4 linked regions of the Arabidopsis thaliana genome follow. Each later gene encodes a partner of the first gene's protein in a complex. Each region holds a gene or a part of one and is shown in the gene's direction. Other genes may lie near its edges. The genes, in order: FIE, VRN2, VEL1 and MSI1.

Region 1 (6,178 bases):
AACACTTTTCTTTTGTAGGGAATTTGATAATATGAAATGGATAGATTTTACTGCTTAATTTTTAATCATTTTTTATCAGAAACTTTTTCGTTTTAAATCTACGGCTAGAATTTTCGGTCGGTTTTATACTTTATATAGATGCTAGATTTTTTTCTTCTAGTCATCGTTTATTAGTACAATTTTGTTTTTATATATTGATTACTTGAATTTATAATAGGATTGGTACAAAGGTGGTAATTATAAAGTGCATTTTTTTGGATATTGTTCAATTCAAATATTTTTACTTAGATTCTCAAACTATTGAAAAATATCCAAAATATCCGGAAAATTTCAATTTAATCGAATAAAAAAATTAGAATGGAAAGAATAAAAAATTATCGGGTACAATTAGAAGAGTAATGTGTTTAGTTTGGTTTTTACTCGGATACCAGTTCAGTTTTCACGTATTATTCGATCCTATAGGAGCAATTGTGAATTAGTTGTGAGATTTTGGGAGCATTCGCTTCCAGAACTTAGTGCTAGGAGAAATGCTATTTTCCTATAAGAGTTGTACGAGGAAGCGAGCAAGTACACAACAACCACAAAAGCTTTCAATACTTGTTTACTCCTAGGGTTTAAAACTAGAGGTTCTATAGATCTCTAAATTTTTTTGAACAAATGTGTTTTCCACACGTGATATTCTACAATACCACTCGAAAATTATCCATAATTGCTTTAAACTATTTTTTTGTTTAAATTATATAATTTGTACCGTTGTAAACTGATTATTTCAAATTATAATTAAAGCACTATAATTTCATATATTACATTCAACATATATTAAAATAAACTATAACCATGTATTTTTTTGTCTTCCTTTCCTATAAACATTGATTGGACTCTATCGTAAATTTTGTCGTTATCGCAAATTTTGTCGTTATCGATGAGTTTCTCAAAGTTTGGACCTTGATTATCTTGTTTGGAGATGTTCAAATCGTTATATCCAAATAGTGAACTTCTAATTTTCTTTTTTGATAATGTGACTTATTTGGAAAAGTATTCCAAAGTATTCAAATAAACCCTTTAAAAATCCATTAAATACATTTTAAATAAGTAAAATGCTCTCAACGAAGAGATATCATGGTAAATAACAACAGTGAGAGGATAAAATGTTAAATCAATTTATTTACAACTTCAAATAGGCGGACATCAAACCTACTTAGCACACTTTCTATTTTCAAATTGGTTATGGTTTGTCTATTAGTTGTTGCATCTATGTTTTTTAATTCTTATATCGGTGATCTTGATTTTGTTTTGGTGTATCTAAAATCTATTTTAGTTAAAGTGCAAGAAAATAAAATAAAAACTTAAGGTAAGAGATGAAAGTAAGCTTTAAATAAAACAGAGCACTTCTATGGTCGATTATAGAGCCAAGTTCGTTCCTCCATTTTGGCTTAATGCAATATTACAAGTAAATCTTATAAAACTTTCCATAAGTATCGTATTACCCATGGATACTATGATATATAAACTCTCGGAGGTGTAGTCCAGAAGAAATGATCCATATTTGCATACAGTAAACTTGATGGAAAAAATATGTGGTACTGTTGGAATTGTAGCTATTGAGTATCAAATTTGAGAAAAAGGTAAAAAAATATGTAAAATTTGGGTGGAAGAAAAGAATTACATAAAATTGAGAAATGTATGTAATTGACAAAATAATGTTTTCAAAACATAAAAACGTGATACCATTTAAATCCAAACCTTATATCATTTAACCATTTTTAGTAAAACTAATAGTAATGAATGGTCAATAATATAAGATTACATATTAAATAATTACTACTTTCAGAAAATTTCAATCAAATCTATAATATTCCTTTGAAAAAAAAGAAAGACAAATAGGTAAACTTCGATCGTATCAATCAAAGAATATATTTATTTTTCATCGTAACGTTTAATTCTAAGTCCTATTAAAAAACGTTAAATTTGATTTTTCTTACCATTTTTTTCTAAAAGGTGAGTTGTGTGTTGTGTCAGGTCCAAAATAAAAGTTTGTCGTGAGGTCAAAATCTACGGTTACAGTAATTTTAATAACCTGTGAATCTGTGTCTAATCGAAAATTACAAAACACCAGTTGTTGTTGCATGAGAGACTTGTGAGCTTAGATTAGTGTGCGAGAGTCAGACAGAGAGAGAGATTTCGAATATCGAATGTCGAAGATAACCTTAGGGAACGAGTCAATAGTTGGGTCTTTGACTCCATCGAATAAGAAATCGTACAAAGTGACGAATAGGATTCAGGAAGGGAAGAAACCTTTGTATGCTGTTGTTTTCAACTTCCTTGATGCTCGTTTCTTCGATGTCTTCGTTACCGCTGGTGGAAATCGGGTAAAAGATCTCGACTTTCAATTCGAAATCACTGTTTTCAATTCTGGGTCTGTTTAGGTTTTGATTCAGATTGATTGTAACATTAAGGCCTTTCCTTTTGTGTTTGATTTTGGATTCTGATTTCTAGCCTTTAGTGAGATTAAAAGATTGAAACTTTGCTTGATGCTATAGTCTAAGATTATGTAACATTTAGTTCAAACTTTCTGGTTTTGGAGATTTTGTGGAAGATATGGTTTTTGTTTTCTAATTTAAAGTGAACTCATTACCTTATACACTTGATTTGCATTCTGTTCTAAAAAAAATTGAAACTTTGGTTGATGTTGTTAGTCTGCTTATCTAAGGAGGTTCCTTTTGAAACGGTCATCAAGTGAGTTATGAAGCGTTTAGTTTAAGCTTTCCTGTATTGGAGATTTTGTGGAAGTTATTTTTTTTTCTAATTTTGAAACTAGATAGAGTGAAGTCATTACCTTATACATTAGACTGCTCTATTTTGTTTTCAATGTGGGTTCCGAATGTACCTGATAGTGGCTCTTTAGGCTCATTTGTATTCGTCGAAACATCGATCGGATACCCGTTTGGGCTTAGTAGGCTCTGATACCGCGTAAAGTTCTCGGGTTCCATGAAAAACCAATCGGTAATGAGTGGAGTTAATTTGTAATCGTCTTCGGTCGAGCATTTGGGATTAGTGGGCTTTGATACCATGTGAAAGTCCTTGGGGTCCAATCGGCAATGAGTAGAGTTAACTTGTAATCTTACACACTTGGTTAGGTCTCATTCTCTTTATAATGTTGTGTGCCTAACAGTTTCCGCACTAAGGTTGTTTGGTTGCTCAGTCTCAATATACTTATCTTAACTAGTTGTAGTTTTTTTCATCTTTCCTAGTTTCCGTTGGATTTTAAATTGAATGATTTACTAGTTAGAAATATTTGAGTTTCTCATAGAAGCTTTAACCAAGGGGTTCTTTCATTTAACCTTTACTTAGCTAGTTCATGAATCTCATTACTGCCATTGGTGTATCTCTTATTATGTAGATTACTCTGTACAATTGTCTCGGAGATGGTGCCATATCAGCATTGCAATCCTATGCTGATGAAGATGTAAGGAAGCATACATATTAGCTTTTCCATCAAATTAAAGTAAGTGATGTTTCACTGAGGCCATTTGGTTATATTTTGTCTATGTCCTCTGGAGAGCAGAAGGAAGAGTCGTTTTACACGGTAAGTTGGGCGTGTGGCGTTAATGGGAACCCATATGTTGCGGCTGGAGGAGTAAAAGGTATAATCCGAGTCATTGACGTCAACAGTGAAACGATTCATAAGGTATTATTGCATTTTTATGGATGTTCTATGTATCCTAGCAAATGATTCTATATCTTTCTTGTATAATCTGTGCTCGCAAATGTGCAGAGTCTTGTGGGTCATGGAGATTCAGTGAACGAAATCAGGACACAACCTTTAAAACCTCAACTTGTGATTACTGCTAGCAAGGTATATCTCTTGGCTTTCTTTTCTTCCTAAAGTATCCTGACTTCTTTTTTATTTGTTGGTGATTAAGAGCTGTTACGTTTTAATTGAATAAGGATGAATCTGTTCGTTTGTGGAATGTTGAAACTGGGATATGTATTTTGATATTTGCTGGAGCTGGAGGTCATCGCTATGAAGTTCTAAGTGTGGTGAGCCAATATTGTTTTATCTAATTCAGTTAGTTTTCTACAATAATATATAGAGACAATGTTAAGGGGAACCATCTTATTTTGAAAATTGTAGGATTTTCATCCGTCTGATATTTACCGCTTTGCTAGTTGTGGTATGGACACCACTATTAAAATATGGTCAATGAAAGGTACGATCGAGCACATATTGTAATAAACTTCCATTTTAAAAAACCTTTTGAGAAAAATGGCTTGTGGTTCGTTTGTATGATCTTCTTATTCTTTGGCTGTCTATAGAGTTTTGGACGTACGTCGAGAAGTCATTCACATGGACTGATGATCCATCAAAATTCCCCACAAAATTTGTCCAATTCCCTGTAAGTATTTTGTTTTAGCCTTGTCTTGTAACAACAAGTGACATACAAATATTGGTGATGGCCTTTGTAAATAACATTACTTCTATATGTAGGTATTTACAGCTTCCATTCATACAAATTATGTAGATTGTAACCGTTGGTTTGGTGATTTTATCCTCTCAAAGGTTAGTAAGTCAATGATGGTTAAGATTAATTCATTTGGTGTACTGTTAAAACACTTTACTCTTGTGTTGTTCTATCGGATTTTAGAGTGTGGACAACGAGATCCTGTTGTGGGAACCACAACTGAAAGAGAATTCTCCTGGCGAGGTTAGGATCTCATTGTTGCTCCAAACACAACATAATCATTCATTTCATCACATATATTTACAGTTGAACTTTTTGTGGTTTGCAGGGAGCTTCAGATGTTCTATTAAGATACCCGGTTCCAATGTGTGATATTTGGTTTATCAAGTTTTCTTGTGACCTCCATTTAAGTTCTGTTGCGATAGGTAATCAGAGAGCTCGTTAGATACAAATTTGCATTCTATAGATAGATTACTTCAACTTTTCTTATTCATTTTGTGACAAATTACTCGCTGGTTTGTTATCAGGTAATCAGGAAGGAAAGGTTTATGTCTGGGATTTGAAAAGTTGCCCTCCTGTTTTGATTACAAAGTAAGTTAGTTTCGGATTCAGATACAATGTTTGATCTTTAAGAAATGTTTTAGTCTTGACATGATTTTCTGTTGCCATATAGGTTATCACACAATCAATCAAAGTCTGTAATCAGGCAAACAGCCATGTCTGTCGATGGAAGGTATAAATCCATCTTCTCTCTCACCAATGCAGTGAAAATTTCTTAATGTTATTTATGACTCAATAGTTACTGTAAATCAAACCAAACTTTGGATTCTGACACACTGTTTCTTCCATGGGATTGTAGCACGATTCTTGCTTGCTGCGAGGACGGGACTATATGGCGCTGGGACGTGATTACCAAGTAGCGGTCTGAGTCTTGTAGGAATTGATGAATTAGGAGTGCGAAGAAATGAGATATCCATTCTTTTATTGTAATTCTGATCATGTTGCTACTCCCTGAGACCTTGAGATGCTCTTTGTAGCCTTGTTAACGTCCACCCTTGTACCACAGTGTATACCCTTTCTGGAGATTTTGTCTTATTCTCTTAGTTCAATACACAAGGCTGTATCCTGGAGCTTTATTGCAGGAACCACTCTCTTTCATAAGCTTTCTAGTATTCAAAGCATTGTCCCATGCTCCATTAGCTGCATACACACTGGCCAAATTGATGTAATTGACTGGTTTCCTCGGTTCCATACTCAGAAGCTGCGTGGCTGCTACTTTACTGAGCTGCACATTCCCATGGCGCCTGCATGCATCAAGAAAAGCTCCCCATGTTGATGAGCTAAGACTTACAATACCCTCTTTACTTCTTATCAGTGCATAAGCTTCTTCCAAGTAGCCACTGCGCGCAAGCATATCTATGATGCAAGATAAGTGCTCTTCTCGAGCTTCGATTCCGTGCTTGTTGATCATTGTGTCGTAAATCTTCCAGCCTAGTTCGGTTTGTCCTGTATGACTACAAGCAGAGAGGAGAGAAAGAAATGTAACGTCATTCGGTTTGATCCTTTCATGCTCCATTCTGTTATAAAGATCAATTGCTTTCTCAAAATTCCCATGTCTTCCATATCCTGCAATCAAAGAGGTCCATGATCTCACATCTTTCTCTTTCATCTCTTCGAAAGCCAGGACTGCATCCTCGATTTCCCCAGACTTTGCA
Region 2 (6,264 bases), on another chromosome or scaffold:
CTTAGGGGCTTGTAGAGTGCACAAGAATGTGGAATTGGCTGAATTTGCAGCTGAGAAACTGCTTCAGCTAAACTCGCAAAATGCAGCCGGGTATGTGCAGCTTGCGAATATCTACGCATCGAAGAATCGTTGGGAAGACGTTGCAAGGGTTCGCAAGAGAATGAAAGAGAGCAATGTTGTGAAGGTAGAGCGAGTCAAAGTTCGATTCTTTATTCGAGTTACAAGACTCTAATGTATTTACTTGACTGTTTCAGGTACCTGGATACAGTTGGATCGAAATACGAAACAAAGTTCACCATTTCAGATCAAGTGATCGGATTCACCCTGAACTAGACTCAATACACAAGAAACTGAAGGAGTTGGAGAAGAAGATGAAACTAGCTGGATACAAACCGGAACTAGAGTTTGCTTTACACAATGTAGAGGAAGAGCAAAAAGAGAAGCTATTGTTATGGCACAGCGAGAAGTTAGCTGTTGCATTTGGTTGCATAAAACTCCCTCAAGGTTCACAGATACAAGTGTTCAAGAACTTGAGAATCTGTGGTGATTGTCATAAAGCAATCAAATTTATCTCGGAGATAGAGAAACGAGAGATCATTGTAAGAGACACCACAAGGTTTCACCATTTCAAAGATGGGTCTTGCTCTTGTGGCGATTACTGGTGAAAAGAGAAGAGCTTTGACTCTCTCATTGGTCAAACCTGACTGTATTTATATGCGTTATTGTGTGGTAAAGTTTCGACCTTTGACTTGACAAGTTGCCGTTAAGAAGAGAGATGCGTAGATCAGCGAGTGGTTCTAGAGTTTTGGATCATTTTCCGGCGACTTCAAGGTCTCCGCCTCGATCTCAGAGTGTTACAGCAATGGAAGATGATGTGGAGCTGCTTTTGCCTAGGTACGATCCGAATTCTCAAGCGGGGAAGAGAGAGAAATCAAGATTCAGATTTTCAGAAAACGTCATCCATTTGATTCCTCTCATTCTTCTTCTCTGTGTCGCAATCCTCTGGCTCTCCTCTTACTCAGGTAAGCCGAGAAATTGTTTCAATCTCTATGAATCCATAATTGATCTGTGAAACTTAATTAGGGATTTTACAAAGACTCATATGGATATGAGGATCGAGATGTCTCTGCAACGTTAGAATCTTGTGTTGAATTATGGTTTCAATTTGTTCATATAATACTAAATCGGTGATGGATTTGGAATTTGTCAGCAGCGTTAAGGAGTTGAGTTCCAAAAGCAACATGTTGTCTTGTCTCCATGGGAACTCATATTCAGTTTTGGGAAAGGAAACAATTCTTTTACCGCCGGTGATTTTGTGCCGCAAACCATTCGTATTTGTAATTTTTGGTTCTGTAGACACACAAAAGGATCTCTCGTTTTCATGAAATGTATGTTTAATATTTCAGTGATATACATCACACAACTCAAGTAGAAAACACTGATGGTTATCCATTAATCATTCTATTGGTCGAAAAAAAGATTAGTTTCAACTTAATGCCACCTTAGGATTATATGTTCCTGTGAGTTTCAGCTAGCCAACTCAACTAGAGTTAAACAATGGAATCAAAATACATATTCAGTAATTTATTTTAAACTCTGACTATTTATGTAAAACACAAATGGAAATCAAAATTGAAGGTCATGAAGATTCTATTCTTAGTGTGAAAAGTATAGATCAATGATTCTTAATTTCTTCATCCTCCACGCATAGATCAATGGTGAATATGGTTTTAAATCCTCTAATACTCACTGTACTGCCATGGTAGAGTTAAAAAAACAATTTTAGAAATATTAGTGGATTAAGGCATTAAGCTGTCCAAGTTGCTTGTATTTTCTTTTCATTTTATTAATTAAAAAAAAAGTTCAACTATTTATTGACTAATAATAATACGTGTTAAATGGTTATCGGTTTAAAATATGGGCCATAGGCCCAGACTTGAAGAAAAACTTGAAACCCAAAGTTTTATTTTTACTTGTTTTCTTTCTCAGTGAATATCTCCCAATCAAGCTTCTTCAATTTTGCTTGCTCTCTCTCTTACACGGCCAATCGGTGTTTTCGCAGCTTTCAGGTTTGTCTCAATCTCAAATTAAATCGGAGTCAAGTAATAACAATTGATAACCCTAATTGTTTCAATTATATTGTAAGATTTGAAATTTTGCAGTAGATCCGGAATCGTATTCTAGTTCTGGAATCGTTGATCTCGATGGAATTTTTTTTAAGATTTCTTCATACACATTTGGTTCAAAAGATCACATAATTTTATTTTAATTTGATAAGTATGATGATTCTGCTAAGTGGCATTGGATAAAGTTTTCATTTTTGCAATACGTCTAAACTTGTCTATGTCTTGAATGAACTCTCTGAGTTGCTTAAAAAGTCTTGTGCTTTCTTTATTACACAGGCCTCAATACAAGACATTCTATATAAGCATATTGCAGAAGAGGCGGTTCTAATTGTTGCATGGAGTTGAACAATATGACGTAGGGAAATTCTAATTTAGGGGAGGCCTCAGAGTTTGCACTAACTTCATAATCAGCTCTGGACGTTGTTGATTGTATTTGAACAAGAATGTGTAGGCAGAATTGTCGCGCGAAATCCTCACCGGAGGAAGTGATTTCAACTGATGAGAATCTCTTGATATATTGTAAACCTGTTCGACTATATAACATCTTTCACCTTCGCTCTCTAGGCAACGTATGATTTGGCCTTCCTCTCTCATCATTTTAGCTTAGTAATCTTTCATCTCCTGTGTAGATCACCCACTAATAGTTTGAGTTTGCTAAGCTGATTATGGTCTGACTCATGGCGAGTGTGTGCTTCTTTTGTCTCCTAATGTTATTTGAACTTGTTGTTTGTTGTTGCAGCCATCGTTTCTGCCAAGATGCTTGAACTACAAAATTGGGGCAAAGCGCAAAAGAAAGTATGCGTTTCTTCTTGAATGTAGTTGCCACAGTGATATGTTATTTATCTTACTTCTAATATGGAAGCTGATGAACTATTTATCTTTGTTGAGTAGATATGGACATAATGAATGGTTTCTTCTTTGTTCATGCTATACACTTATATTTTACAAAATTGTGTTTTGCTTAGGTCAAGATCTACTGGGATGGTAGTTTTCAACTATAAGGATTGTAATAATACATTACAAAGAACTGAAGGTTAGTCTTTTTCTGTTCTTCGACAAAATTCGATGTCAATGTCTATGTTTCTCTAGATGATTTGTTATTTACTATTTTTTTCTGTATTGTCACGCAGTTAGGGAGGATTGTTCTTGTCCATTTTGCTCTATGCTATGTGGTAGCTTCAAGGTGGGCAACTATTACAACTGAGGTTTCTTCCGGGGCCTTTCATATCTAACACTGTGAAATGCTACTGCCGTTTAATGCTATATACTTTCACTGTTTGGTTACATATTTTTGTGTTTGTTGTTTGTCTTCTTGCTCTTTTTAAACTGCTGAGTGTGTGCTTATCTGAGAAAACATGTTCCAGTTCGAGCTTACAATCCATTGTCTTGTGTCTATGCAGGGGCTGCAATTTCATTTGAATTCATCTCATGATTTATTTGAATTTGAGTTCAAGGTATGTGGTTTTATGGAATTTCTTGTTTTGCCTATGCCGTTAGTAATGAGGTTATAGTTAAAAAAGGGTCTTTCCTATTGTAGCTTTTGGAAGAATACCAGACAGTTAATGTTTCTGTAAAACTTAATTCCTTCATATTTGAGGTCAGTTACTTTAAACTTGGTTAATTGGGAAATCCTATAGCTGGTGAAAATTTGGTTTATATTCCATCCTTATTTGTACTAGGAAGAAGGAAGTGATGATGATAAATTTGAGCCCTTCTCTCTCTGGTAACTCTCAGAACCCCTTGATTAAATACCTTAATAGCAGTAACTCCTTGCTTTTCTTGTCAGTACTTCTCTATAAATCCAACCACAATGTTTTGCAGCTCGAAACCTCGTAAGCGTAGACAAAGAGGTGGCAGAAATAACACCAGGAGACTTAAAGTATGCTTTTTACCGTTGGATTCACCCAGTTTAGCTAATGGCACAGAAAATGGAATTGCCCTGCTGAATGATGGTAAAATCACATCTTCTTCTGTGGTATTCGTTGTGGCTTAGAACTTCATTTTACAGAAGAAGATACAATGTCCTGATTGTTTAGTTTTTGTACTTCTCCTCGCATTCTTCTTGTGAGGGTAATGTTACCAGAACTGATGTACAAAATTAATGGCATGCTACAGGAAACCGTGGTTTAGGATATCCCGAGGCAACAGAGCTTGCTGGACAATTTGAGATGACTAGCAACATTCCACCAGCCATAGCCCACTCTTCTCTGGACGCTGGTGCTAAAGTTATATTAACAACCGAAGCTGTGGTCCCTGCTACTAAGACAAGAAAGTTATCTGCTGAGCGATCAGAGGCTAGAAGGTTTGTTCATCATGACACCCCGTCATCATAATTACCATACCTGTTGTTACAAATGTTCTTCCTATTATGGATAAGTGTTTACTGTACTGCCATATTAACCGAGAAAATTTCTTCCAGCCACCTACTTCTTCAGAAACGCCAATTCTATCATTCTCACAGAGTCCAGGTGATCCAAGTTCCTTCACCTACTTCTTAGGCATTTTCTTTAAATTGCTCATGATGATATCTTATCAAAGCATACTTGGTTTGTTCTCATCTAAATTTGTATTTTGATTCTGTATGTATCAACGCAAAAAAATTATGTCCATGTTGTCTCCGTTTTATTGCCACTAACCAAAAACTGCATGTTTCTTGTGACAAGCCAATGGCGCTTGAGCAAGTAATGTCTGATCGGGATAGCGAGGATGAAGTCGATGACGATGTTGCAGATTTTGAAGATCGCCAGGTATTCCATGATTTCTTTCTGCGTTCATTAAGTAGGCAACAGAAAATGGTATACGATGTAACTTGCTAATGGCTTTTGAAACTTAAAAAAGCTGCAGATGCTTGATGACTTTGTGGATGTGAATAAAGATGAAAAGCAATTCATGCATCTTTGGAACTCGTTTGTAAGAAAACAAAGGTAACTACTTCTCTTACACTTGAACACACACAAAAAGACCTTATGTCTTACATTCCATACCTGTCTAAATGATTCTGCTTATGGAACTTTGAGCTCAAATTATGATTGATGTTTGCAGGGTTATAGCAGATGGTCATATCTCTTGGGCATGTGAAGTATTTTCAAGATTTTACGAGAAAGAGTTGCACTGTTACTCATCACTCTTCTGGTAATATAAGTACACCAAACATATACAGACACATAACTACACTATCAATTTTGTTTCGTTTTTCTGAAAGAAAAATAAAAAATTCCAGGTGTTGGAGATTGTTTTTGATTAAACTATGGAACCATGGACTTGTCGACTCAGCCACCATCAACAACTGCAATACCATCCTCGAGAATTGCCGTAATACCTCAGTCACTAACAACAACAACAACAGTGTGGATCATCCCAGTGACTCAAACACCAACAACAATAACATTGTGGATCATCCGAATGACATAAAAAACAAGAACAATGTTGACAACAAGGACAATAACAGCAGAGACAAGTAATTAAATAGGAAACACTCCGGTTTAGATGATACCGATCTATCGGATTGTAACTTATTCTTCTTTCTTAAAAAAATTGTTTAGGAGCAAACAAAGATTTTATTTGTTAGTGTATTCAACTGATTACATTTTTAGTTAAAAAAATGGATTCTCCTTAATAACTAAAGACTGAAAAATAAGATAAGTTTCCTTAATTTTTCTTTTTGACTTGAGAAAAAGCTCCTCTAGACCTCTAGTAAATAGGAGTTATATATTAATCAAGTACATAACATAAAAATATATATATTAAGTGCAAATAGATTGAAAACAAATCAAGAAATTAATTAAGACACAGTGATTAAGCTTAAAACCCCATTTTGACTTGTTCTTTCTCAATGAATCCCTCACAAGCAGCAAGCTTCTTCGATTTTGCTTTGACACCACCAATCAGTGTTTTCGAATCTTTCAGGTTTGTCTCGATTTCAAACTAGATCGGAGTCAAGTGATAAAATTGACTAACATAATTATTCCCGTTCTCTCGTAAGAGTTGGGATTTAGCAGTAGATCGGAAATCGGAATTTACGTTTTTGTTAAAAGATTGATGGTTTAGGTAATAAAACATAGTTCTGGATTCATTGCTTCTAGTTGATTCTCGAATTGTTTGATTTCGCAATGCACATTTTTGGTTCAAAGGATCACAT
Region 3 (6,119 bases), on another chromosome or scaffold:
ATTGATCTAAAATTCTTGGACGCTTTGATTTTGGCTACACCGATTAAACATGTCAATGAAAAGTCAACGGGATTTTTGGCTTACACGTACGTAGGATCAAACAATTTTTTAGACATAACATATTTGTCATTATTTTGAATCTTAAGAGCTGTTAATTTGAAAAATTATAAACCTCACTTTTTCAATATAAACATGTATGTTATCCGTACTAATATTAGCTAGCTTTTACTATGGCATAGCTATAGATGATTGCTAACTAGGTTAGGTGGAGATTCAATAACAACAAATTAAACGATACGAAAGAAGCATGACCATGTACTTTACTTATCTTCATATGCTAGCTGTTGCTAATTATATGTGTTTCATTTATCGTCTTTACTAATCGCTAAGTCTAACGTACCATATATTACATATTTAGATCGTAAGTTTCATGTCCAGTACCTTGATTCATGTGACCATATCTGTATACTAGAAACAGTTCGTCTGACGTAACATATTTTGGCATAATAAAAATTATGGGTACACGATTGTTAACCGATGTAAATACAAATTAATTAAGAGATGTAGAACTTTTAGACAATAAACAAAACATAAACGAGAAATAAACTACAGATACAGTACTTGAAACTCTTGAACTCTTCGTGATAGCTAGAAATAGAAATCTGCGTCTTCACAGTTGACAAGAAACCTAGAAAAACAGATTAGGTGTGCTATTAACGGTCAGATTATTCTTATATAAGTTCGATATGCGTTCTCGAATATTATTAATTTAAGCTAAACTAGACCCAAAACTCCAAAAGAATCCAACATGTTTATCCATATCTACCTAAGACTACTTGTGATCCAAATAATTTTCGAAAAACAATATTTCTGTATTGATAAATAAAGGTCAAATTATCAATTACCACTAATATATGTTTTTAAAAAAAAATTTGCTACAATGTTTTTGCAGGTGTACTGTGTTAGGCACATGTCGTTTTATACCCTTCAAATCCAAGTTTTTCCCGTTTGTGATGATAGCCAATGCTCCCGTAACACACACGTATACAAATTTGCCAATGTCTATCTAACACGTGTTATTACGCAACATGCTTATTCCAAAATAAACAAATTAAGATGAGATAAGTGTCACATAATTATACAATATGAAATAATATCAATTGCATACCTATTTTATATACGTGAGTGACTCGTAGGAAGTAGAAATCCTCTTTGTTTTATTAGGAGCATATATCTTCTCAATTTACTTTCTTTTCTTAACTCTCACGAATCCTCTTTTAATATTTTCTTAACTCTCACGAAAACAATTCCTTTTAAACTTTGAAATTTCCTTAAAATTGAAAAGTTCCTATATATGAAACTGAAACATGATATAATTGACCATCTTATATTTCACTTTCTACTATAAAACAATTCAAACTGTAAAAAGAAGAAGAATTTACTAATCAATCTCAAAAAAGTAAAATAAAATTTAAACACACAGAAAATTACGAACGTTACGAAACCAAAATCACAGAAATAACGTGAACATAAAAAAAGGGTAAAAAATTAAAATAAACTCTTTTTTACCCTTTTTGGGGGCCCACCAGAAAACTGCATCTCTTATAGGCCTCTCTCTCTTCCATAGACCCATCTTCTTTCTCTTTCTCTCTTCCTATCTCACAGCGACAATCTCTATCTCTCTCTATCTCTTCTCCGCTCACAGCGAATCTCTCTCTCTCTCTCTCTCTCTCTCTCTTCTCCGGTGTATTCCGTTCTCCGGGAATTTCTCCGAAGAGGGAGAGAGGAAAAAAAAAACGTCCGATTCAATCTCTTCGTTGCTCGACGAATTTTTCTTAAGCTTTCCTTATTGGGTAACTTTCTTTCCTTTTATACTTTTTTCCCGATCTCTCTCTCTCTCCTCTGTTTTATTATTTCACTCCCAAATAAAAGTTTTTATTTTTTTCCATTGTTTTACCTAATTTTTATGTTTTCTTCACATCGCAGAGATTTGAAGATTCTGAGTGGTTGTTATGATAATGTGGGTTTGATTAGTTCTTCACACACAGCTTCTCTACGCTCATGGATTCTTCTCTCGATGGTATTCACTTTTAGATTTCTGGGTTTCATTGGTTGCTTAAGATTTATCGATATCCGTGTCTCTTTGTTTTTCCCTATAATAATGTTTCAACTTTCAAAAATAAATAAATAGTCTTACTTCTCTTTGTTTTTAGCTTTGATGATGAATGATGAAGCTTTGGATTCTCAAATTTGTGTTTATTTTATTCAATTGTTTTCGAAAGTTGGAGACTTTATATACTTTTTACTAAGTTGCTACTGAGTTTAGATTACTAATCTTTCTATTTTCTATTGCAAGTTTTATGTTTTCTAATTGGTGATTATTCTAAATGGTGGGTCTTTACTTTTTTTTTGGTTGATTGGTTCTAACTTCATATTCTTCTGTGTATGTGTGTGTGTGTGTTTCTTCCACTATCATTGGTTTGATGAATTCTGTTTTTTAATTTAATCGTGCGTCAGAAGACTATATGACTTTTGTTCTGTGTATAGAATAAGATTCCATGATTGATGAATGTGGGTTCTGTTACCTAAAAGAATCATGCTTTCATTCTTTGCTTTGGATCTTTGGTTTCAGAATCATCTTGAAGAGCATTGATCTTTCCTTTGTCATGTTGTTTGGTTCTCTCTGATTCTTTGATGTCTATTGACCCAACCTTATCAACATTGTTGTCCTGTGGTGGTTGTTGAACTATCTTTGTTTTTAGATGAATAAAGTGTTTTAGTTTTCAGTATTCTAAATTAGCTTTGTGTTTGTATTTATTTGAATTTGGAATCATTCTTCTTAGTTTTGGTAAACAAGAAGATCAGACACAAGTTTCTTTGGTACATTCTTTTATTAGTCTTGGATAGTTTTGTGTGTTTCTGGTTAAGACATTGTTGTTCTCCATTGCCTTCACTTTGAGTTCACATAATTTGACTTCCTTTTCTTCTATATGCAGGAGCTGCAGGTGACTCATCGAAATGCAGTGAAATGAGTGTTGATGAGAAGAGACAGCTTGTTTATGAACTGTCGAAGCAATCACATCTAGCTGCTGAGGTCTTGCAGGCATGGAGCCGCCAAGAGATTCTACAGATCTTATGCGCAGAAATGGGAAAAGAAAGGAAGTATACTGGTTTGACCAAAGTCAAGATCATCGAGACCCTTTTGAAAATTGTATCTGAGAAAAACTCTGGAGAGTGTGAAGGGAAGAAGAGAGATTCTGATTGTTTGCCTATTCAGAGAAACACTAAGAGACAAAGGAAGGTTGATAATCCTTCTCGGTATGTGATTCCAGCAACCAACATTGTAACAAGCAACAATGCCTCAGGGAGCTGCAGCTCGGTTAATACTAAAGGTAAACAGTCTTCTTTTTTTGGTTCAAAGTTATCAACCTTTTTGTACATACTAACCCGGAAATAGAATTTGGTCAGGTGAGAGTACTACCATCTACTGCAAAAATTTGGCTTGTCGTGCTGTACTGAGACAGGAAGACTCGTTTTGCAGAAGGTGTTCATGTTGCATCTGTCGTAAGTATGATGATAACAAAGATCCTAGTCTCTGGTTAACATGTAGCTCAGATCCTCCATTTGAGGGTGAGTCTTGCGGATTCTCGTGTCATCTTGAATGTGCTTTCAACACTGAAAAATCCGGTCTTGGAAAAGACAAGCAAAGTGAGGGATGCTGCTTCTATTGTGTCTCTTGCGGTAAAGCAAACAGTTTGCTTGAATGCTGGAAGAAGCAATTGACGATTGCTAAAGAAACCAGAAGGGTAGAAGTGCTTTGTTACCGTCTTTTCTTAGTCCAGAAACTATTGAAGAGCTCAACTAAATACCGAAATCTGTGTGAGGTTGTGGATGAAGCTGTCAAGACTCTTGAAGCTGATGTGGGTCCTCTCACTGGTCTTCCTATGAAAATGGGTAGAGGAATTGTAAACAGACTTCATTCGGGACCCGATGTGCAGAAACTTTGCTCTTCTGCTCTTGAATCTCTTGAAACTATAGCAACTACACCTCCTGATGTTGCTGCATTACCTTCACCTCGCAGCTCCAAGATGCAGCAAGGTCAGAACTTTTGTACCCTTCAATGATTGAGTAATATATTAAGTTTGTTGAATAATGTTGATTCTCTGATTTTGTTTCGTAGATTGTTCTTATGTATTGAGCAATGAGATATCTGCAGATACAGCAACCACAGGATCAACCAAGATCAGGTTCGAGGATGTAAACGCGACTTCACTTACAGTGGTTCTCGCCTCTAATGAAATTCCCTCACCTCCAAACATCGTTCACTACAGTATTTGGCATCGTAAGGTACCAGAAAAAGATTACCCGGAGAAATCGACTTGCACATTGTTTATTCCAAACACAAGATTTGTTGTCTCTGGATTAGCTCCAGCTTCTGAGTACTGCTTCAAAGTTGTGTCCTATAGTGGAACCAGAGAAATGGGCGTTGATGAAATCAATGTTTTGACACGTAGCGCTGAAGAAGGAGCGAATTGCTCTTCGGCAGTGGAAAGAAGCGTAAGCCCTCTCACAAATTGCAGCACATTGTCTTCTAATCCTTCTTCTGTTGAAGCTGAGTCCAACAACGATTACATTGTCCCAAAGAAGCCATCTTCAAAGAACGAAGACAACAATTCTCCTTCAGTCGATGAAAGTGCTGCGAAAAGGATGAAGAGGACAACCGACTCAGACATTGTACAGATTGAGAAGGACGTTGAGCAGATTGTGTTGTTGGATGATGAAGAACAAGAAGCTGTTCTGGATAAGACGGAATCTGAAACTCCAGTCGTGGTTACTACGAAAAGTCTTGTTGGTAATCGAAACAGTTCAGATGCGAGTTTGCCAATTACTCCCTTCAGGTCAGATGAAATCAAGAACCGTCAAGCTAGAATCGAAATATCGATGAAAGACAACTGTAACAACGGTGATCATTCAGCGAATGGAGGAACAGAAAGTGGATTAGAGCATTGTGTGAAGATCATAAGACAACTCGAGTGTTCAGGACATATCGATAAGAATTTCAGACAGAAGTTTCTGACTTGGTATAGCTTGAGAGCAACGTCACAAGAGATTAGAGTTGTGAAGATATTCATTGATACATTTATTGATGATCCCATGGCTTTGGCTGAGCAGCTCATTGATACTTTCGACGACCGTGTTTCGATAAAGCGTTCTGCGGTTGGTGGTAGCGGTGCGTCTGCAGTTGTTCCATCTGGATTCTGTATGAAGTTGTGGCATTAGAGAATGGGAACTTGTGCTCTGTTTTTTTCAAGTCATTTTCAAAACGTTATTCTAATTATTGGGAAATTTGCATTATTGGAACATTTCCATGCAAGAACAGTAGTACTGTTGCTATCGAATAGATCGTCTTTGTCGGATTATTTATTTATTTTTAGTGGATTTGATTCCATTTATAATTTAGTAATTAGTCCTAGACTGAATTATTCTTATTTCGTTGACTATTGGATTATGTTATTTTATCAAGTAGGTTATGAAAATGACCATTTCTTTGTATGAAGCTGTGAGAACAGTGAAGATTTTAAGTTCTTTCGAAATTAAATTTGTTTAAACTTTATATTTTGTAAATAAAGCTATCCAACTTTATTGGAATTCGAAAACTGCAGTAACAAATGCAACAAACTAATACGTCATCGTCATTCATCATCACATAAAGGTTTTTGGTTTGATTATGGGTTCCATTAGTTGATTTAAGCACAAAGAGGTTGCAGAGACACTTTGTTTGTTTTCTCTAATATATACATCACATTTGTTTGTTTGTATACGTACATTCATAACAACAAGCAATGAAAGTATATATATAGTTTTATTGGGGTTCGTATCAAACAGATGTCAAAAAGCAGAACTAGTGTTGTGTTGAATTTTCCAAGCATCATCTCTTTGGCTTCATTGATCTTAGAAGCACGATAGTGACTTTCTCCAGCGTTCGGGTGGTTTGCAACAATCACTCTACATGTCTACTCTCTACTATCCTAAACTAGACGAACCACAGACTAAGTACAAATTATGAGGTTTGATCTCAAGTGTGTTGAACCAAATACCTCTGACATATAGTAACCTGC
Region 4 (4,680 bases), on another chromosome or scaffold:
TAGAGGTGTGTAAAGTATACCAGTAGAAGCTGTTTTGTTTTGACATTTTGCGCAAAGGTTTGGAATCGACCAAGATGTCTTAATCTAGACTATTATTGTCCTGCTGGCTATGAGTCTAGATTAAAACACACAACAGTTTTAGAGGCTTGTTTTGTGATCGACCATTTTGTACAAAGGTATAGAATCTCCCAAGATGTTTAACATGGTAATCTATACTATCGTTGTCCTACTCACAATGAGTCTAGATCAAAGCTCGTATTTTCGCTAATTCATTGTTTGTTCTACAGAACTACAAATCCAAATAAATACTCGAATAGACATTATTTCATAGCAATTTTTATACATGTCGAATAAAGACTTCATTTCATAGCAATTTTGATACATGTTCCCGTAGTGGTACAACCAAAACAAAATGTGTTGGAAAGTTGGTGCCGCAGACAGCAGTAGCATAGCTCTAGCTCCCACGGTATGTGGAGAAAGAAAAAGGTGCAAGCAACAGTGGGACATGGAAATGCTCCCATTTCTGTGATTCTGTAACCTGAAATACAATGGAAACATAGGGAAAGAAGCAGCCTGGGGAATACTTTGCAGTGTCGAAGCTAATCCTATATGTCCCTGGATTCAAAGCGTCAACCAAATCCATCAGTGGCCCACTGCGCCCATCTCTATCAGTAGCTGATGTGCCCACACTGGACCAGACCCCACCACCTCCATGAACAAAGGAAGGACCGGTAGTACCACTCCACACTTCTAAGTGCACTTCAACACCTGCAGCTGGAGCACCACGTGAGACGTCTAAGACATGAGTCGTGATCGGTGGCCTACTTCTCTTGGGAGCTTTTGCTTCAGCTGCAACATTCAAATGCCCTCCAATGATTCTCAGACGATCTTACAAAGCGAGAAAGTAGAAAAGGTCACACAGATAACAAAGATAGCCATAAGGGTAAATCCTTGTATTCCAAAAGACACATACTTGATATCATACTGAATCCTAACAGGTTCAAACCCACACAGTCAAACACAAAACTTTGACAAGGAAAAGATTTGGTAAATCATCAATATACCTTGAGGTTTTGTTGAAACAGGAGAGCTAGAGCTGTCAGTTTCTGATATAACTTTAGCCTTATCGGAGAACAGCTTTGCCATTCGTAGCTCTGTTATTTTCATTTGTTCCATAGCAGCAATCTCAAGCTCCACTATTGGCCTATTTTCATACCTTTCCTGAAAAAGAGACGATTTGATGAATATGTAACTTTCTCATTCACTCACACTCAACAAAAACTGATTTGGAAATGCAAAAGTTGACCTTTAACGCATGGAGCATCTCAGCGTGAGTCCTGCCAGAAGCGCAAATAATGAAGATAAAGCCAAACTTCTTTTTGTAAAGTACATTCCATTCGGCAAGCTCCTAAGAAATTGAAAACAATTGATCATCAGAAGAAGAAATCACTGAAGAGATGAAGGAAAAAAAAAGTGAAGATCCATCACCTGTAAAGCAGAAGCAGAAGTTGTGGCAAAGGCGGTTGACTGTTCTGATACGCTCCGACGAGCAAAATCGGAGTTGATAGAAGGTGAAGGAGTATTCCCAATCTGAGGATGAGCAGAGAAAGCTTCAAGCCAATCTGTCACATTAACTTGGTTGAACCAGATGTCTCTTGCAGTATATATTGCTTCTTGAGAAGTTAACGGTCCAGACGTAGACATCTGCTTCGCGAATTCGGAGCTTCCACAGCAAACCTTCCATTCATCTTCTCCGATCTCCATCGCCATTTTTTCTCTCTTTTCTCCAATCCTCACTTCTGTTGACTGGTGTAAGATCAAAAGTCATCTAATTGGGCCTTTTCATAAACGGGCTTTTCAAAAATGGGCCTTTTCTTTATCTTCTTCCTTTTTTTATTCATCATCTTCTATATGTGAATTATTCAGAAACAGAAGCGAGAAGTTTCTTACAATTTGTAAAGAGATCTGTTTTAGGGTTTTGCCTTGTTCTTGTGGCGGGAATAACAAAGACATCGCCGATATGGGGAAAGACGAAGAGGAAATGCGAGGTGAGATCGAGGAGCGACTAATCAATGAAGAGTACAAGATCTGGAAGAAGAACACTCCTTTCCTCTACGATCTCGTTATTACTCACGCTCTCGAGTGGCCTTCACTTACTGTTGAATGGCTTCCTGACCGTGAAGAACCTTCCGGTAAAGACTACTCCGTTCAGAAGATGATTCTCGGTACCCATACCTCCGAGAGCGAGCCCAATTACTTGATGCTAGCCCAAGTTCAGCTTCCTCTTGACGATACCGAGAGTGAAGCTCGTCAGTACGATGATGACCGCTCTGAATTTGGTGGCTTTGGCTGTGCAACTGGAAAGGTGCGATTTTTTATTTTTGTTTCTCATTTCCAACTTTCTAGATTTGATTCTAGGGTTATAACGAGGTAAAGGATGATAAATGTTAGTTTGATTGCTTGTGTAGGTACAAATTATCCAGCAGATAAATCATGATGGTGAGGTTAATCGAGCTCGCTATATGCCTCAAAACCCTTTCATAATTGCTACCAAGACAGTTAATGCGGAGGTCTATGTTTTCGATTACAGTAAGCATCCATCTAAGCCTCCTCTTGATGGGGCTTGTAATCCTGATTTAAAGCTTAGAGGTCACAGCTCTGAGGGATATGGTCTCTCTTGGAGTAAGTTCAAGCAGGGTCATTTGCTTAGTGGCTCTGATGATGCTCAGATCTGCTTGTGGGATATTAACGCTACTCCTAAAAACAAATCTCTGGACGCTCAGCAGATTTTTAAGGTAATGCTTTGGATTTCTATTCGTTTTTAGTTTTGTTTTGTATCATCTAGAAAGGAAGGAATTGCACCCACTTAACGGAATCAGTTACACTTATGAAAGCTCATAGATAGATATTCAGGTTGGTTTCTGTGTTTTCCTTGCTGATGATTATTTTCTGAACTTAAGGCTCATGAAGGGGTTGTGGAAGATGTTGCATGGCATCTGAGACATGAGTACCTGTTTGGATCAGTTGGAGATGACCAATACCTTCTCATATGGGATCTGCGTTCTCCATCTGCCAGTAAACCAGTACAGTCTGTGGTTGCTCATTCGATGGAGGTGAGTTTGCAATATATTAGCTTTAGATACAGATAATACTTCTGGTTTTTAAGCTTGCTTTCCTTAACACTAAAAACCATTGAATCATATTGCCTCGTATGTATTTGCTAATTGTTGAGTTGTTTGAAATGCCTTAGGTTAACTGCTTAGCCTTCAATCCATTTAATGAGTGGGTTGTGGCAACAGGATCAACTGACAAGACTGTTAAATTATTCGATCTACGGAAGCTAAGCACCGCTCTTCACACATTTGATAGCCACAAGTAAGAATGATACGCCATAAATATTGCCGCTTTGAGATGGATTTTGTGTTACTAAGAAGTATTTACAAGTTACAGCAACATCACTAACCTTAATTATGTGCTTGATCTCCAGAGAGGAGGTTTTTCAAGTTGGTTGGAACCCAAAGAACGAGACTATTTTAGCTTCATGTTGCCTTGGTAGAAGACTTATGGTTTGGGACCTTAGCAGGTTTGGGCCGTAGACTTTAGTTCTTTAGTTTAATGTTCATGTATGGTCATGGAGGAGCAATATTGATATGTTTGAGGGTGTCTTATGATAGGATCGATGAGGAACAGACAGTGGAGGACGCAGAAGACGGCCCACCTGAGCTGCTGTTTATTCACGGTGGTCACACTAGCAAAATTTCAGATTTCTCGTGGAACCCTTGTGAAGATTGGGTTATTTCCAGTGTTGCTGAGGACAACATACTCCAAATATGGCAAATGGCTGAAAACATCTATCATGATGAGGATGACGCTCCAGGGGAAGAACCATCAAAAGCTTCTTAGCTTGTTATTTAGTATCCAAAGCGCACTGATCTTATGGGACAGTATTTATTTATACATCTCTGCTATTGTTTAGTTCAAGTATTTAGTGTTCATTGTGTAAAATGAGGCATGAGAGGATGGTAGCAAGTGGGAATTTTTCTTTATAACATGAAGGAGTTGATTCTAATCTCACTAAGTAGTGTCAACCAAAGCTATAACTCTTAGTTTATACCCAGATTGGGCGACATTAGAAAGAAATTACAAATTTGAATCAAAGTCTCTGACATAAAATTTCAAACTGAAAGTCACTTGTCACAATGGTCCTTATTAAAGCTACTGGATAGCTTGGTTTGATTTGATATTGATAAATGATAACTAGCAATCGAAAAGAGATCTGTATTGGGAAGCCTCGTCAGCCATCTCCTGAATGCTCCTATCAACCCGGTCTTTATCTAGATCAAGCTTCTGCTTCAGTTCCTTCTCCTTCTCATCAAGCTACAAGAAGATACCACCATAAGATTTGTATAAAACCAAAGCTAGGAATGTGATCAAAATGCAACAACTTACAGCATCATAGATTTCATCATTCTTCTCAAAGTCACCACCTTTACGAGGCAAGATATGAATGTGTACATGGGGAACAGTCTGTCCCGCTTGAGGGCCATCCTAAGCCATTTTCATGAAACCAAAGTTAGATCGTTTCAATTCCAATCCATTAAGATTTAGACGCAAGAAACAATGACGAAAGAAAGGAGATGTTTAGTTTACTTGGATGGCTAATGTGAGAGAAGACGCATT

The links.
Region 2: FIE (region 1) and VRN2 share a complex: the UniProt entries of both Arabidopsis thaliana proteins name them as parts of the plant homeodomain / polycomb repressive complex.
Region 3: FIE (region 1) and VEL1 share a complex: the UniProt entries of both Arabidopsis thaliana proteins name them as parts of the plant homeodomain / polycomb repressive complex.
Region 4: FIE (region 1) and MSI1 share a complex: the UniProt entries of both Arabidopsis thaliana proteins name them as parts of the plant homeodomain / polycomb repressive complex.

Annotation. Positions count from the first base shown.
Region 1 is NC_003074.8:7,248,269-7,254,446, reverse strand, and holds FIE (Transducin/WD40 repeat-like superfamily protein), read left to right. Parts: upstream 1-1,994; 5' UTR 1,995-2,192; coding exon 2,193-2,369; intron 2,370-3,212; exon of another isoform or gene 3,213-3,400; coding exon 3,401-3,466; intron 3,467-3,565; coding exon 3,566-3,688; intron 3,689-3,775; coding exon 3,776-3,856; intron 3,857-3,948; coding exon 3,949-4,041; intron 4,042-4,135; coding exon 4,136-4,211; intron 4,212-4,317; coding exon 4,318-4,397; intron 4,398-4,489; coding exon 4,490-4,561; intron 4,562-4,646; coding exon 4,647-4,706; intron 4,707-4,791; coding exon 4,792-4,888; intron 4,889-4,990; coding exon 4,991-5,054; intron 5,055-5,136; coding exon 5,137-5,196; intron 5,197-5,322; coding exon 5,323-5,383; 3' UTR 5,384-5,568; downstream 5,569-6,178. Other genes in the region: AT3G20730 (PPR superfamily protein), read right to left, coding at 5,569-6,178. UniProt on the Arabidopsis thaliana protein: Polycomb group (PcG) protein. PcG proteins act by forming multiprotein complexes, which are required to maintain the transcriptionally repressive state of homeotic genes throughout development.
Region 2 is NC_003075.7:9,474,139-9,480,402, forward strand, and holds VRN2 (VEFS-Box of polycomb protein), read left to right. Parts: upstream 1-1,930; 5' UTR 1,931-2,069; intron 2,070-2,402; 5' UTR 2,403-2,569; coding exon 2,570-2,695; exon of another isoform or gene 2,696-2,865; coding exon 2,866-2,921; intron 2,922-3,091; coding exon 3,092-3,159; intron 3,160-3,256; coding exon 3,257-3,309; coding exon of another isoform or gene 3,310-3,331; intron 3,332-3,526; coding exon 3,527-3,580; intron 3,581-3,663; coding exon 3,664-3,723; intron 3,724-3,805; coding exon 3,806-3,849; intron 3,850-3,947; coding exon 3,948-4,078; intron 4,079-4,241; coding exon 4,242-4,428; intron 4,429-4,545; coding exon 4,546-4,594; intron 4,595-4,789; coding exon 4,790-4,873; intron 4,874-4,970; coding exon 4,971-5,050; intron 5,051-5,168; coding exon 5,169-5,258; intron 5,259-5,346; coding exon 5,347-5,587; 3' UTR 5,588-5,740; downstream 5,741-6,264. Other genes in the region: AT4G16835 (Tetratricopeptide repeat (TPR)-like superfamily protein), read left to right, coding at 1-184, 255-665; AT4G16840 (uncharacterized protein), read left to right, coding at 776-1,022, 1,211-1,227. UniProt on the Arabidopsis thaliana protein: Polycomb group (PcG) protein. Plays a central role in vernalization by maintaining repressed the homeotic gene FLC, a floral repressor, after a cold treatment.
Region 3 is NC_003075.7:14,786,013-14,792,131, reverse strand, and holds VEL1 (vernalization5/VIN3-like protein), read left to right. Parts: upstream 1-1,630; 5' UTR 1,631-1,853; intron 1,854-1,986; 5' UTR 1,987-2,061; coding exon 2,062-2,080; intron 2,081-2,996; coding exon 2,997-3,392; intron 3,393-3,468; coding exon 3,469-4,098; intron 4,099-4,180; coding exon 4,181-5,280; 3' UTR 5,281-5,600; downstream 5,601-6,119. UniProt on the Arabidopsis thaliana protein: Maybe involved in both the vernalization and photoperiod pathways by regulating gene expression. Binds preferentially to dimethylated histone H3 'Lys-9' (H3K9me2).
Region 4 is NC_003076.8:23,554,092-23,558,771, forward strand, and holds MSI1 (Transducin/WD40 repeat-like superfamily protein), read left to right. Parts: upstream 1-1,920; 5' UTR 1,921-2,020; coding exon 2,021-2,365; intron 2,366-2,468; coding exon 2,469-2,795; intron 2,796-2,960; coding exon 2,961-3,113; intron 3,114-3,250; coding exon 3,251-3,375; intron 3,376-3,487; coding exon 3,488-3,583; intron 3,584-3,674; coding exon 3,675-3,903; 3' UTR 3,904-4,154; downstream 4,155-4,680. Other genes in the region: TTL (transthyretin-like protein), read right to left, coding at 455-888, 1,065-1,221, 1,307-1,408, 1,489-1,770; FHIT (FRAGILE HISTIDINE TRIAD), read right to left, coding at 4,258-4,377, 4,450-4,548, 4,651-4,680. UniProt on the Arabidopsis thaliana protein: Core histone-binding subunit that may target chromatin assembly factors, chromatin remodeling factors and histone deacetylases to their histone substrates in a manner that is regulated by nucleosomal DNA.